Linked DNA regions of Ovis aries. The main gene of each other region encodes a partner of the protein of the gene in region 2 in a complex. Links are inferred from orthologs where the notes say so. Each region holds a gene or a part of one and is shown on either strand. Other genes may lie near its edges.

Evidence for each region.
Region 1: CTNND1 (region 2) and CDH26 share a complex: the UniProt entries of both Homo sapiens proteins name them as parts of the cadherin:catenin adhesion complex. The link is inferred for Ovis aries from reciprocal best matches to the Homo sapiens genes CTNND1 and CDH26.
Region 3: CTNND1 (region 2) and CTNNA1 share a complex: the UniProt entries of both Homo sapiens proteins name them as parts of the cadherin:catenin adhesion complex. The link is inferred for Ovis aries from reciprocal best matches to the Homo sapiens genes CTNND1 and CTNNA1.

The regions. Positions count from the first base shown.
Region 1 is NC_056066.1:56,277,855-56,281,944, reverse strand, and holds the start of CDH26 (cadherin-like protein 26), read left to right. Parts: upstream 1-1,229; 5' UTR 1,230-1,327; coding exon 1,328-1,414; intron 1,415-4,090. UniProt on the Homo sapiens protein: Cadherins are calcium-dependent cell adhesion proteins. They preferentially interact with themselves in a homophilic manner in connecting cells; cadherins may thus contribute to the sorting of heterogeneous cell types.
Region 2 is NC_056068.1:79,803,674-79,807,319, forward strand, and holds part of CTNND1 (catenin delta-1), read left to right. Parts: intron 1-1,028; coding exon 1,029-1,100; intron 1,101-1,830; coding exon 1,831-1,983; intron 1,984-2,386; coding exon 2,387-2,922; intron 2,923-3,646. UniProt on the Homo sapiens protein: Key regulator of cell-cell adhesion that associates with and regulates the cell adhesion properties of both C-, E- and N-cadherins, being critical for their surface stability.
Region 3 is NC_056058.1:47,904,787-47,908,432, forward strand, and holds part of CTNNA1 (catenin alpha-1), read left to right. Parts: intron 1-699; coding exon 700-900; intron 901-1,411; coding exon 1,412-1,563; intron 1,564-3,646. UniProt on the Homo sapiens protein: Associates with the cytoplasmic domain of a variety of cadherins. The association of catenins to cadherins produces a complex which is linked to the actin filament network, and which seems to be of primary importance for cadherins cell-adhesion properties.

The DNA.
Region 1 (4,090 bases), on a different chromosome or scaffold from region 2:
GTCGTCCCCTTCTCGTGCCCTCCCTTCTGCCCTCAATCTTTCCCAGCATCAGGGTCTTTCCAAATGAATCAGCCCTTCGCATCAGGTGGCCAATAGATTTACATGGAATAAAAATATCCATCTTGAAAGTAAATGAAGATTTATTTATTCAAAGTTGTAAATTTGATCATTATTATTCTGCTTCTTTAAAAAAATTATTTCTTTATTTTAATTGGAGGATGGATAATTACAATATTGTGATGGGTTCTGCCGTACATCAGTATGAATTGGCCATAGGTATACATGTGTCCTGAACACTCCTCCCACTCTCCTCCCCACTCTATGTACAGGAAATATAGAAAGGTTTAAAAATTGCATTACTTACTCCTTTTAGTAACAAACAACTTGGATTCAGATTATAAACAATTCAAATTAAAAAGTACAGCAACCTGTCACAGAGCCATGAAAATACATTAAGACAAGGTAAATATTATCTTTTATTTCACCTCTTGAAGAACTGTTTAGTGTTTTCAACAAGGTGATGTGATCACAGGTAATACGTTAAGGTAATGGGGACTAATGAGTGTTAGATCTTGTTTTCCACTTGTTCATTGCAGCCTGAAGTATTGGTATGTTAGAACCTCAACTTGTCTTTTTTCCAGAATCCTAATGTAAAGGCCCCAGGTCGGTACAGAGACCCTCCCACAGGGAGCCTCTTTCCCATCCCTCCTCCCTCTTTCTTTCATCTCAGAATCAAAAAGGCAGGTTCATCTAAACGTAAAGGAGATTTTGGTGAAGTCTATGAACCCCAGAACTTCAAGAAATGATTGGGATAAAGATGGTTAATGCTTTGGAAGGTAAAATTATACTTTTCTCTTTTTTTTCGTCTCTTAATAAAGTTATTCTTTTTTGGAGTCCTTTTCCAGTTCTTTGATTTCAAGCAATAGAGCCTATAAGGAAATGAGCATTAAAATACTCTGCTACAAGGAAGAGATCAGTAGGCATTCCACTGATTTTGGAACCAAAAACAAAGAAACCAAACCCCTATTTCCCCATAGATACTGGCTTCACCCTCCTCTGACTGAGCCCTGGTCTCCTGGGGTCAGACGCCTGCTGTGCGTATCGCTGGGGCAGTTTTATTTCCTCCACTCCCTTCCTGAGAATTCTGCCTGTGGTTAATGAGGCCAAAGGCTAAGCCTCAGCCTCCCATCCCACCCCTGATAAATACAAGAATGCTCGGGAGCAGGGACGGGAAGAGTTGAGAGAGTGTCTGTGACAAGGTGACCAGACGGTGATAGGAGAAGAGAGCCTGCTGGGAAGGACGGGCCCACAGCCAGGAGGACTTGCCATGCCCGTGGGCTGTGGGTGCTCACCAGGCGGCATGCGCTGCAGGGTTCACCCCGCGCTGCTGCTGCTCCTCGCGTTCCTGATGCTGGTGAGCAGGGACTGGTACCCACAACGTGGGGTTTACCTGCTGGGGACCGGGAGCTGACCGCACAGCTCCAGCTGGCTCTGCCTGTTCAAGGGTGGGGGAACGGGGCTGAGTGTGATGCCCTGCAGCTGCGGGCGGGGGTGGGGGGGTTGGGAGCTTTAGTACTTTCTTTAGGGAAAGAAGAGGGGTTCCAGAATTAACACCAAGGAGGGATTTGGCAGAGTAGTGGGAACAGGCTAAGACTGGTTTATATAGGATACATACGTTTAGATTTGTATCAATGCGTTTCCTAAGGACATTTCTTTTCACTTTACATAAGACTGAAAAAATCTCAATTGTGTATGTCGAAGAGGGTTTGAGCAAACCCATGGGGGTGGGAGGGCTAAATCCCCCTGCCTCCCCACCCTCTGCCCCTCACCAGTTGCCATGGCTCAACTCGGAAACAAACAGTAGAATCAAGACGGAAATGTCTGGGCTTGTTGCTTGTACTTACCGTGGACAGAGTTTAGGCTGCATCTGCCTGTGGGGCATGGCCGCTCTGCTCAGCCCGCTTTCCTCAGACAGAGAGGGAGAGCCATGGGGCTCTGGCACTGCTCCTGGGTTCTCCCTTATAAACCCGGCCAGGGCAGAGGCAGGAGGCCCTGCAGTGGGTGGGGGTCAGGATGGTGGATCTGCACTGCATCGTAACCTGGCTTGGCACCTGGGCTGTTGCTTGGCCTCGGTCCTCACCTTGGTTCAAGCTTGACTCTTCTCAGATGCTGCGAGAGTCCCAGTGCCCAGAGGCCACTCACCCCTGGATTCAGCAGAGCTGATCTGGGGATGCGGCCTAGGCATCTGGGTTTTCAAGGCTCTACCTTCATCTTGTTAAGCCTCATTGCCTCCATCTGAAAATGGAGCTACTGCAGGCACTTACTTGACCTGGGTGGCTGTGGGAGTCAATGAGGAAATGCAGAGGATCTTTTCTTGCTGTTCTCCGTGCCCTGACAGGATGGTTATTCTCTTCACTCAGTGCCTGGGCTGCTACTGTTGGTGGGCCACTCGTTCCGGGCCAGGTGCTTTCATAAGTGCTGGGTATTACTGTAAACAGAAGAGGAAACAAAAAGTCCCTAGTTGTCTGGCCAGCTCTGCTTCTGAAATTCGATGCCCTGTTCGCCACCCTTTGCTTAATGTTCAGAAATTTTTCTTGGCTACTTTGAAAAAAGTTTTAATTGGAGTATAGTTGCTTTACAGTGTTGCTACTTTCTGCTATATGGCAAAGAGAAAGAGCTAAATGTATACATTTAGGGGGGCATTTCATTCCTGTTCAGGTCACCACTGAGCACTGAGCAGAGTTCTCTGTGCCACCCAGTAAGTTCTCATTAATTATCTATTTTATACATAGTAGGAGAAGGCAGTGGCACCCCACTCCAGTACTCTTGCCTGGAAAATCCCATGGACGGAGGAGCCTGGTGGGCTGCAGTCCATGGGGTCACTAAGAGTCACTAAGGGCACGACTTTCACTTTTCACTTTCATGCATTGGGGAAGGAAATGGCAACCCACTCCCGTGTTCTTGCCTGGAGAGTCCCAGGGACGGGGGAGCCTGGTGGGCTGCCGTCTATGGGGCCGCACAGAGTCGGCCACGACTGAAGCGACGGCAGTAGTAGTAGTGTGTGGATGGCAACCCCAGTCTCCCAGTTCATCCCACCTCACACTCCTCCCCTTGGTGTCCATACATTTGTTCACTGTGTCTCTGTCTCTATCTCTGCTTTGCAAATAGGTTCATCTGTACCATTTTTCTAGATTCCACATACATGCATAATATATGACATTTGTTTTTTTCTTTCTGACCGCTCCTAGTAGAACTCTGTTTTAGTAGCCCACATTAGCCTGGATTTGGATATGTCACAAATCAAACCTTGTTCCCATCTTTCTCTTACTCTTGCTCCTACCCCTAACTGAACTCAAGAGAAAACAGAGCTGTCTGTTTCTCATTTCTGCGTGTTAGCACAGAGCCCAGGCAGGTTAATTCATGACTGAGGGTGTGGTGGGTGGGGTGGGCAGTGGGCAGCAGGGCTGGACTGTGGGTAGCAATTCAGTGTTTGGTGGAAGCAACTATATATAGATTCCGGGGATCAAGGCCAAGGGAGATAATGGGATAAACAAGTGTTCCGTGGTTTTGAGCAATCTGTACTCTGGACCCTCAATTGGAGAAGACCTTTGTGTCCAAGAGGTGCCCAATTTTTTGCTGAATTGGCTATAAGTAACCTATTCCTTTCAGCCCCTATCTTCTCCCACCTACGCTGACTTTTAACCACTGATGATATGCAAATAAGGCACCCACTACCCCTCCCTTGACCTCCAGATTTAAAACTGGTACCCATTCTGCTGAAGAGCTGAGATATCTACAACAGTGTTCTCCCCAAATCTCCACCTTCACGTTGTCATCCTGACATGAAGCAAAGAACAAAGTTGCAACTCTGCTGCGGGTCTTTGTTCCAAATCCCACGACAAGCCGCAGAAGCAGGGTCCTATCCCCCTCTTTGCCATTTCCAGCCCTGAGAGCTTGCACACCCTCGGCTTTGGGCTGGGGCAGCTTCTAGAACCTGAGAGGAGGGAGGGTTTGAGAATGAAGTTAGTCAACAATGTCTGTTATGGTTGGTAGGTTGTTGTTGCTATTAATCTGGGAAATTCTGAGTTGA
Region 2 (3,646 bases):
GGAATTTGGAAGCTGTGTGTTTGCAGTGCTTCTAGGCTTTTTACAGGAACAAGAATAGAGGCTTAGGGTTGGAGGGGTAGATATTGCAAAGGAGAGCAGGACCGCTCAGCCTTGGAGGTGGTGGGGAATTCCAGGATTTACTACATGGAGTCTCTCTCTTTTATTTTTAACTTCTGCTCAGCAGTGAAACCACACCCTTCCTTCTTCCTGAAAATAATGTTTAACTTCCTTTGCCTACAGCATTACACGTCCTACGTAATGGGAGTAGGGTAGGGAAGAGTCTCTCAAGGTGGCCGAATCTCAGTGCATGCTTTCTGAAGGGGAGTGGTCAAATGTGTTTTACATAGTATAAGGCCATGAGATTATTCCTAACCCTAACCCTAACCCTGCTGCTTCAGATGGAGCAACTTAACGACATTTTTGAATGTGTTCTGTGGATCTTATAATTGGTGATGAAGATATTGAGACATTTGTTTGCTTAAAGGGGGTTGAGATGCTTATTTTCTTCCTGCTTGGAAAGAGGAACTCTTATCTCTTGCTTCTTTCTTTATAAAGCTGCCTGGTGTGGGAGTTTCCCAAGGTTATAGAGTGTGAAGATGCATGAAACACTAAAGGCTTTTGGAAACCCCACACCCTAGCTTTTCCAACTTTCCTATGTTCTTATGGCTTTCCAAACAGATTTCATGGGGAACTTACCTTATTCAGAAGAGTTTTGAGTGCCTCGGATGTGCAGGCACTGTTGAGGGCGCTAGGGAGGCGCTGAACAGAGCTGACCAAAGCATGCGAGCACCTCTGCCCTCAGAGCCCTCGCAGTCTCAGGCTTCAGGGACGGGCCGCCCGAGCTCCAGGCCCAGTTGCGGGTCTGAGGTGCTGAGTCTAAGGCGTGATGTGGTTCTTTTATCTGTACTGACTCTAGGCCACACATGCCTTCTTGAAAGCCCTTTTCCTGTTTGGAAAAAGGTCATTTGTGTTTGATAGAGCAGAAGAAGGCCGCGAATCGAACTGTCTTCCTGTGGGCTCTGTTTCAGAACGGCCGCTTTGTGGGCGATGCTGACCTTGAGCGACAGAAATTTTCAGATCTAAACCTCAACGGACCCCAGGTACCTCTTTTGGTTCAAGGTCTGGGTTGTTTGCTCATATCTTTTTTACTTTCCTAGCTTGAGAGCATATTGGTGTCTTCTAAATTACCTGGCACGTTGTAAACTGTCATTAATTAGTTCCATTTAGTGGAAGAAAATGGAAAAAAGGGGAGCTTCAAAGTATATCTATGGTTTTATTCTGGGCTTAATTACGCTGGCCATTGATTTAGTGTTTGATCCCTCAATTACTGCATCCCTTTTCTAGAGTGGGCATGGTTCTACTTTGCAGAAATCCCTCCCTAAAATCTAGCTGCTCTTGAGCCTTAGGCATATCTGAAAAATAACACTGAGCCATTCAGAAGATAGCTCTTACTGAGGTTTTCTGGTTCATCTTAAAGGTTCTTATTGGGTAAACTTTGTTTTATTTGAAGGCTTACTCAGATACAGATATAGCTGTTTTTTACACAGTTCATGTTCACTTAGATGACTAGAACTGGGGCGGTATATCTGCTGTCTCTGCCACTAGGGCGTTGTTGATGTAGCTATAGTTAACTCAGTCCCTGTTTGTTAAGTGAATGGGACTGGGAACTTATGTCTTCTGCCCTTTTGTACAAGTTGGGAAAGTGGGAACAGTCACTCCTAAAAATTCAGAAGATGCGTTGTCCTCAGGGAGACTGTGCTGCTTGTTGGGAGGGATCGTTAGTGTATATGGCTTAGGAGTGGCTCTTTCCTTTTTCTCTCTTCCGTGTAGGATCACAGCCACCTTCTATACAGCACTATCCCCAGGATGCAGGAGCCGGGGCAGATTGTGGAGAGCTACACGGAAGAGGACCCCGAGGGCGCCATGTCTGTGGTCTCTGTGGAGACCTCAGACGATGGAACCACTCGGCGCACAGAGACCACAGTAAGCTGAGACTTGCGTAAGGTCTGGGGTGACGGTGGACGTCCTCCTGTGGCCTTTATTGAGGGGAAGGGCTGGGCAGTTCACTAGGCTGGCGGAAGGGCCCGTGATCTGTAGTGAAGGTGTAGAGAAAGGGCGCCCTGGCTGGACGGGGAAGCTAGAAGAGATATGAGAAAACCTGATGGAATGAGGAAGAGTCTCGGCAGCTTTCCTTGAGGCACTGTGACTGCCAGTGCGGGTTTGTTCCCTGCAGACTTCCCGGAAGACCGAAGGGGAGACGGTGCGATTGCTCGGCATTTCCAGGGAAAGCAAGCTGGGAGCAGAGGGTTATTTCTTAGAGGGGTCTGGAGTCTAAGCTTAATTTGTTCGTGTCATTAATGTTCCTTTTTTCTTTCCTTACTCAAAGGTCAAGAAAGTGGTGAAGACTGTGACGACTCGGACGGTGCAGCCAGTCCCTATGGGGCCCGACGGGCTGCCTGTAGACGCCTCATCGGTGTCGAACAGCTACATCCAGACTCTGGGCCGTGACTTCCGCAAGAACGGCAACGGGGGCCCTGGTCCCTACGTGGGGCAAGCAGGCACGGCCACCCTCCCCAGGAACTTCCACTACCCGCCTGACGGATACAGCCGCCACTATGAGGACGGGTATCCCGGGAGCGGCGACAACTACGGCAGCCTGTCGCGGGTGACCCGCATCGAGGAGCGGTACAGGCCCAGCATGGAAGGCTACCGGGCGCCCAGCCGGCAGGACGTCTACGGGCCGCAGCCCCAGGTCCGGGTGGGCGGGAGCAGCGTGGATCTGCACCGCTTTCATCCGGAGCCCTACGGGCTGGAGGACGACCAGCGAAGCATGGGCTATGATGACGTGGATTACGGCATGATGTCTGATTACGGCACGGGCCGGCGGACAGGGACGCCCTCTGACCCGCGGCGGCGCCTCAGGTGGGCAGGGAGGAGGGCGGCGAGGCGCCTGGCGGGCGGTGGGCGGGCGGCTCCTCCTCCCCGCGGGGGCGGCTCCTCCCCGCGGGGGCGGCTCCTCCCCGCGGGGGCGGCTCCTCCCCGCGGGGGCGGCTCCTCCCCGCGGGGGCGGCTCCTCCCCGCGGGGGCGGCTCCTCCCCGCGGGGGCGGCTCCTCCCCGCGGGGGCGGCTCCTCCCCGCGGGGGCGGCTCCTCCCCGCGGGGGCGGCTCCTCCCCGCGGGGGCGGCTCCTCCCCGCGGGGGCGGCATCGGGCCCCTCCCCCGCCCGCGTCTGTAGGAGACCGGCCTCATCGTCCCTCTTCTGATCTTGCTAAATCCTCACCTGGTTTTTTTGGTCTCCTTTTTTCATTATAAATACCATGTATTCTAATTATAGAAAACAACCTGTGACAGTTAATTGGTCTGTGTCCTGAGGAGAGGCCTTTGGTTCTGTGTCAAGAGTTTATTTATTTTCTGCCTAAGATTTGACGCCCCATTTGGAACCTGATATCTGAAGCTATAGCATACTTGTTCTTGTGAATTTCTTCCACTTGTTTGGTGTTAAGAACAAGGTTAAGGATTTTAGGCTTTCAGGAGCCGACTAGCCAGTTGAAAGTGAAAGTGTTAGTGCTCAGTCGTGTCTGCCGACTCCGTGGACTGCAGCCCGCCAGGCTCTTCTGTCCATGGAATTCTCCAGGTGAGAATGCTGG
Region 3 (3,646 bases), on a different chromosome or scaffold from region 2:
ACTGCACAGTTCCTGGTGGTGAGAACATTCCCTTTCCCATTCTGGGTCAGCCCCTGCAGATCTTCATCCATTTCAGTGGCTGCCCAGTGCCCATAATTTATTACTCTGTTCTGGGACATTTTGGTTGCTCCTACTTTGCTATTATAGATGAGGTTAACGTGAACTCCTCATTCTGGGGTTCCCAATACCCAGGGTCAAGCTTTGTCTTTGAGGAAAAACAGTTCTGGTAGATCTTCCAAATCCAACTCCACGAGGCTTTTGCCTGCCTTCCAGGCTCTTCTCATGTTCCAGAGTTGTCCTGATGTCTTGGTCGTTTGTCTGAATACCACTGGCATCTCCTGGAGCGAGGGGCAAGGGACTGGGAATAGTGAACCTTGTCTTCTAATTTAGACTTTGGGATATAAAATCAATGAAATTGTTTAAGGGAAAGAAATTATCAAGGATTCTGAAAGATGGGCGTCTCTGCCTGTCTCTTCTAAACCTGGAATAAAGATGGTTATTCTTGGGGTGATTGCAGGTCCAGTTTCCAGGCAGTTGATCCCTGGGTAGTCTGGTCTCTTGAGTGAATGATGTGCAAAGCTTTTGGCACTGTAGCTGGCACGCAGTGAGCACTGGATGAGTGACAGATGCCAGCTTAAAATCGTCCACTTCTGGTGGGAGGCCTCCTCCCTCATTCAGCTGTTTTTGTTTGTTCCTCAGAGAATCACATTTTGGAAGACGTGAACAAATGTGTCATTGCTCTCCAAGAGAAAGATGTGGATGGGCTAGACCGCACAGCTGGTGCAATTCGAGGCCGGGCTGCCCGGGTCATTCATGTTGTCACCTCAGAGATGGACAACTATGAACCAGGAGTCTACACAGAGAAGGTGCTGGAAGCAACCAAGCTGCTCTCCAACACAGGTGCGGGACCCCTCCCTCACCTGTGCTCCTCACACACAGATGGCCCTCTGGTTAGGAAGTAGGACACTGGGGCTCAGTTTGGTTTTCGGACAAGAGTTCTGGAAGGTACATCGGATTTATGAGTCATTGGTCAGCCACAGTAAGACCACACAAACACGTTTCCCTTACTTGTGTCCCACAGGTAGTAATGGGAGTCGTTCTGAACTCTGAACTTCTGAGTTATATCTCTAGTTAGTGAACACACTAAATTAAGGAGAGTCCCATTCTAGTAAGGCCTCTAGTTAATCCCAATTCAAATTCTCAGCCATCTAAATCCTGTGTTCCAGAATCTGGCCAGAGACAAAGAAGAGGATTCAAGTCTTTGTAAAATATGGCATTTAATTTATTTGAACTATAAATACCTCTCACATAGGTAGAAGCAGAGGCTCTTCATCATACACTCTGCCTCTCTGCATCTGACTGAGGGATTTAGGAGGGCTGGTGGTGATGTTATCATCTCTCTTCTCCGCAGTCATGCCACGTTTTACTGAGCAAGTGGAAGCGGCTGTGGAAGCCCTCAGCTCAGACCCTGCCCAGCCCATGGATGAAAACGAGTTTATTGATGCCTCCCGCCTGGTGTACGATGGCATCCGGGACATCAGGAAAGCGGTGTTGATGATAAGGGTGAGTAACTGCATTTCAGATGTTTTAACAGCTTCCTTCTTATCATTTGCTAAACTTGAGCAATGCATCATTCTGGAACTCAACAGATGTGTTGGCAATATATTAAAACCATGAATCTAAGGGCTGTTAGGAAGAGATATGTTTAATTACATTGTTTAAAATGACTTTTAGTTGCAAGTTAGAGCCCAAACTTGGGCTGAGAAAAGGGGACCTAGTATGAATTGAGGCTTCCTCTTGAGTTAAAGGGCAGTGATAGAAAATAAAGGCTCCTCAGTGAATTTCAGAGAAGGGAATATTTCCTTTATTCAGGTTGAAACTGTTCTTTACATGGAGCACTCCTCACCTCAGAGGGGTGGCAGGCAGGCAGGGTACTAGAGCCCAAGGGTATTGAGGGGAAGGATGAGGGGCTGTGCAGCCCTTGGTGATGCTCCTGATCTCTAGGGCCAAGTGTCGAGCCCTCTCACCGTGGCTGAAGGGAAGTGCCACCTGCTCTGGGCCCCGTTTGACCCGTCCTCTCTGAGCCAGAGGCAGTTCTCAGCGTCTGAGGCAGTGTCTGGGGTCCCCTGGGCATGAACAGTAGGGTTTTGAGAAACCACCTCCTCCGTGATCATCCCGTGTCTTAGGCTGGGACTCACATAGCAGTTGATGCCTCACACGCTGTTTTGAACATGAATGTGTTGCTCTGGAAGTGGAGAGCAGGACCTGTGCCAAGCTCTCCCGGAGTCACCCCCAGGCTCGGGCCAGCCCTGCCGTAGCCACAGAGCCAGCATTTGGAAGGCAGGCCTGCTGAGTAGACGGCTGCTGGCCTCTGCTGACAGTCTAGTCTTGTCGGGAAGCTTCCGTTACACCTTCATGGTTTGCTAGTCCGACCGCCCAAGGCGGACGGGGTTCTGTCCCCCTTTTTACCCCCTCAGCTGGAAACAGAAGCCATTTCTAAGGTAGTTGCATCAGGCTGGATACATTCTGTATGCAACGTAGCAACATTTGGGCATTACTGCACTTCTCTCAGGGGTAAGGAGCAACAAGAATGGCTCAAGGACTGTATGGCTGGCTGCTGGGTGTTCCTGCAGGCCCGGGTCACCTGCACATACTGGGGGTTGGGAGGGGATCTGGGGGAGCCTGTTGCTTTGTTCACCCCTGCTGCTGTGCTGGAGAGCAGCCCATGCTCAGGGAGGCCTGGCCCCCAGAGGTGCGAAGGGGTCCCTGGGTCAAGCGCACCAGTGATGGCAAAACGCAGCCCTGTTTTTCCAAAGTTCTTTGCATGCGGACAGAGAATAGAAGAAACATTAATAATCATGAGTTGCTGAGTGTCTGAGGTTAATGCCTTTGGGGTTTTAAATGAGCTGGCACTGCACACACCCCAGGATACCTGCACATCCAGGGCCTGTTCTGTGGAAGCAGGGTTCCTCCTCACATCTGAGACTCTCAGCAAGTTCCCGCATCTCTCTAAGATGCAGATGATGGTGTTGGTAGCTTGATGGGATGAACTGGAGGTCAGGTCAGGGCCTGGCATGTAGTAGCTGTTTCTTGTGTGCTTACTGCTGTGTGGGATCGTAAGTACAAGAGGCCCTGGCAGGTGTGGTGAGATGGAACCTGGGTGTGGTCACCTGGGAGGGCTCAGGGAGCAAGGACGGGTAGGTCTGCAGCAGCCTTGGTTTAGTTCCTCCTTTTTGTCTTGATTTAATTCAGGAACCATCCTTCCAACCCAGGGCCTCTTGGTTTCTTGATGCCTTGTAGTTAGCCTCTTTTGCCTGGTCCTTGTCATAACCAGCATCCCCATCATCCCTTCCGTCAGCTGCTCCCTTTGGTTCTGTGACTTCCAACAATGCTTTGAGTCCATCAGGATATTCAGCCGGTTGGTCCTCCCCACTTGCAACCCTCCCTCAGCCTCTTGGGTCCTTGTCTCACTCCTATTCCAGCTTCTGTTTCATCAGTACAATCTATTTTGCACCCTTTTACTCCCCTTATTTGCCTTTCAAAATACAGCCCTAGTGAAATTCTGTCTTCTGCTGAACATGGTGCATAAAAGTACAGTCATCTGACTGGGGTCACTGGACCCAGGATGTCAGGGGACTGCTGGTGC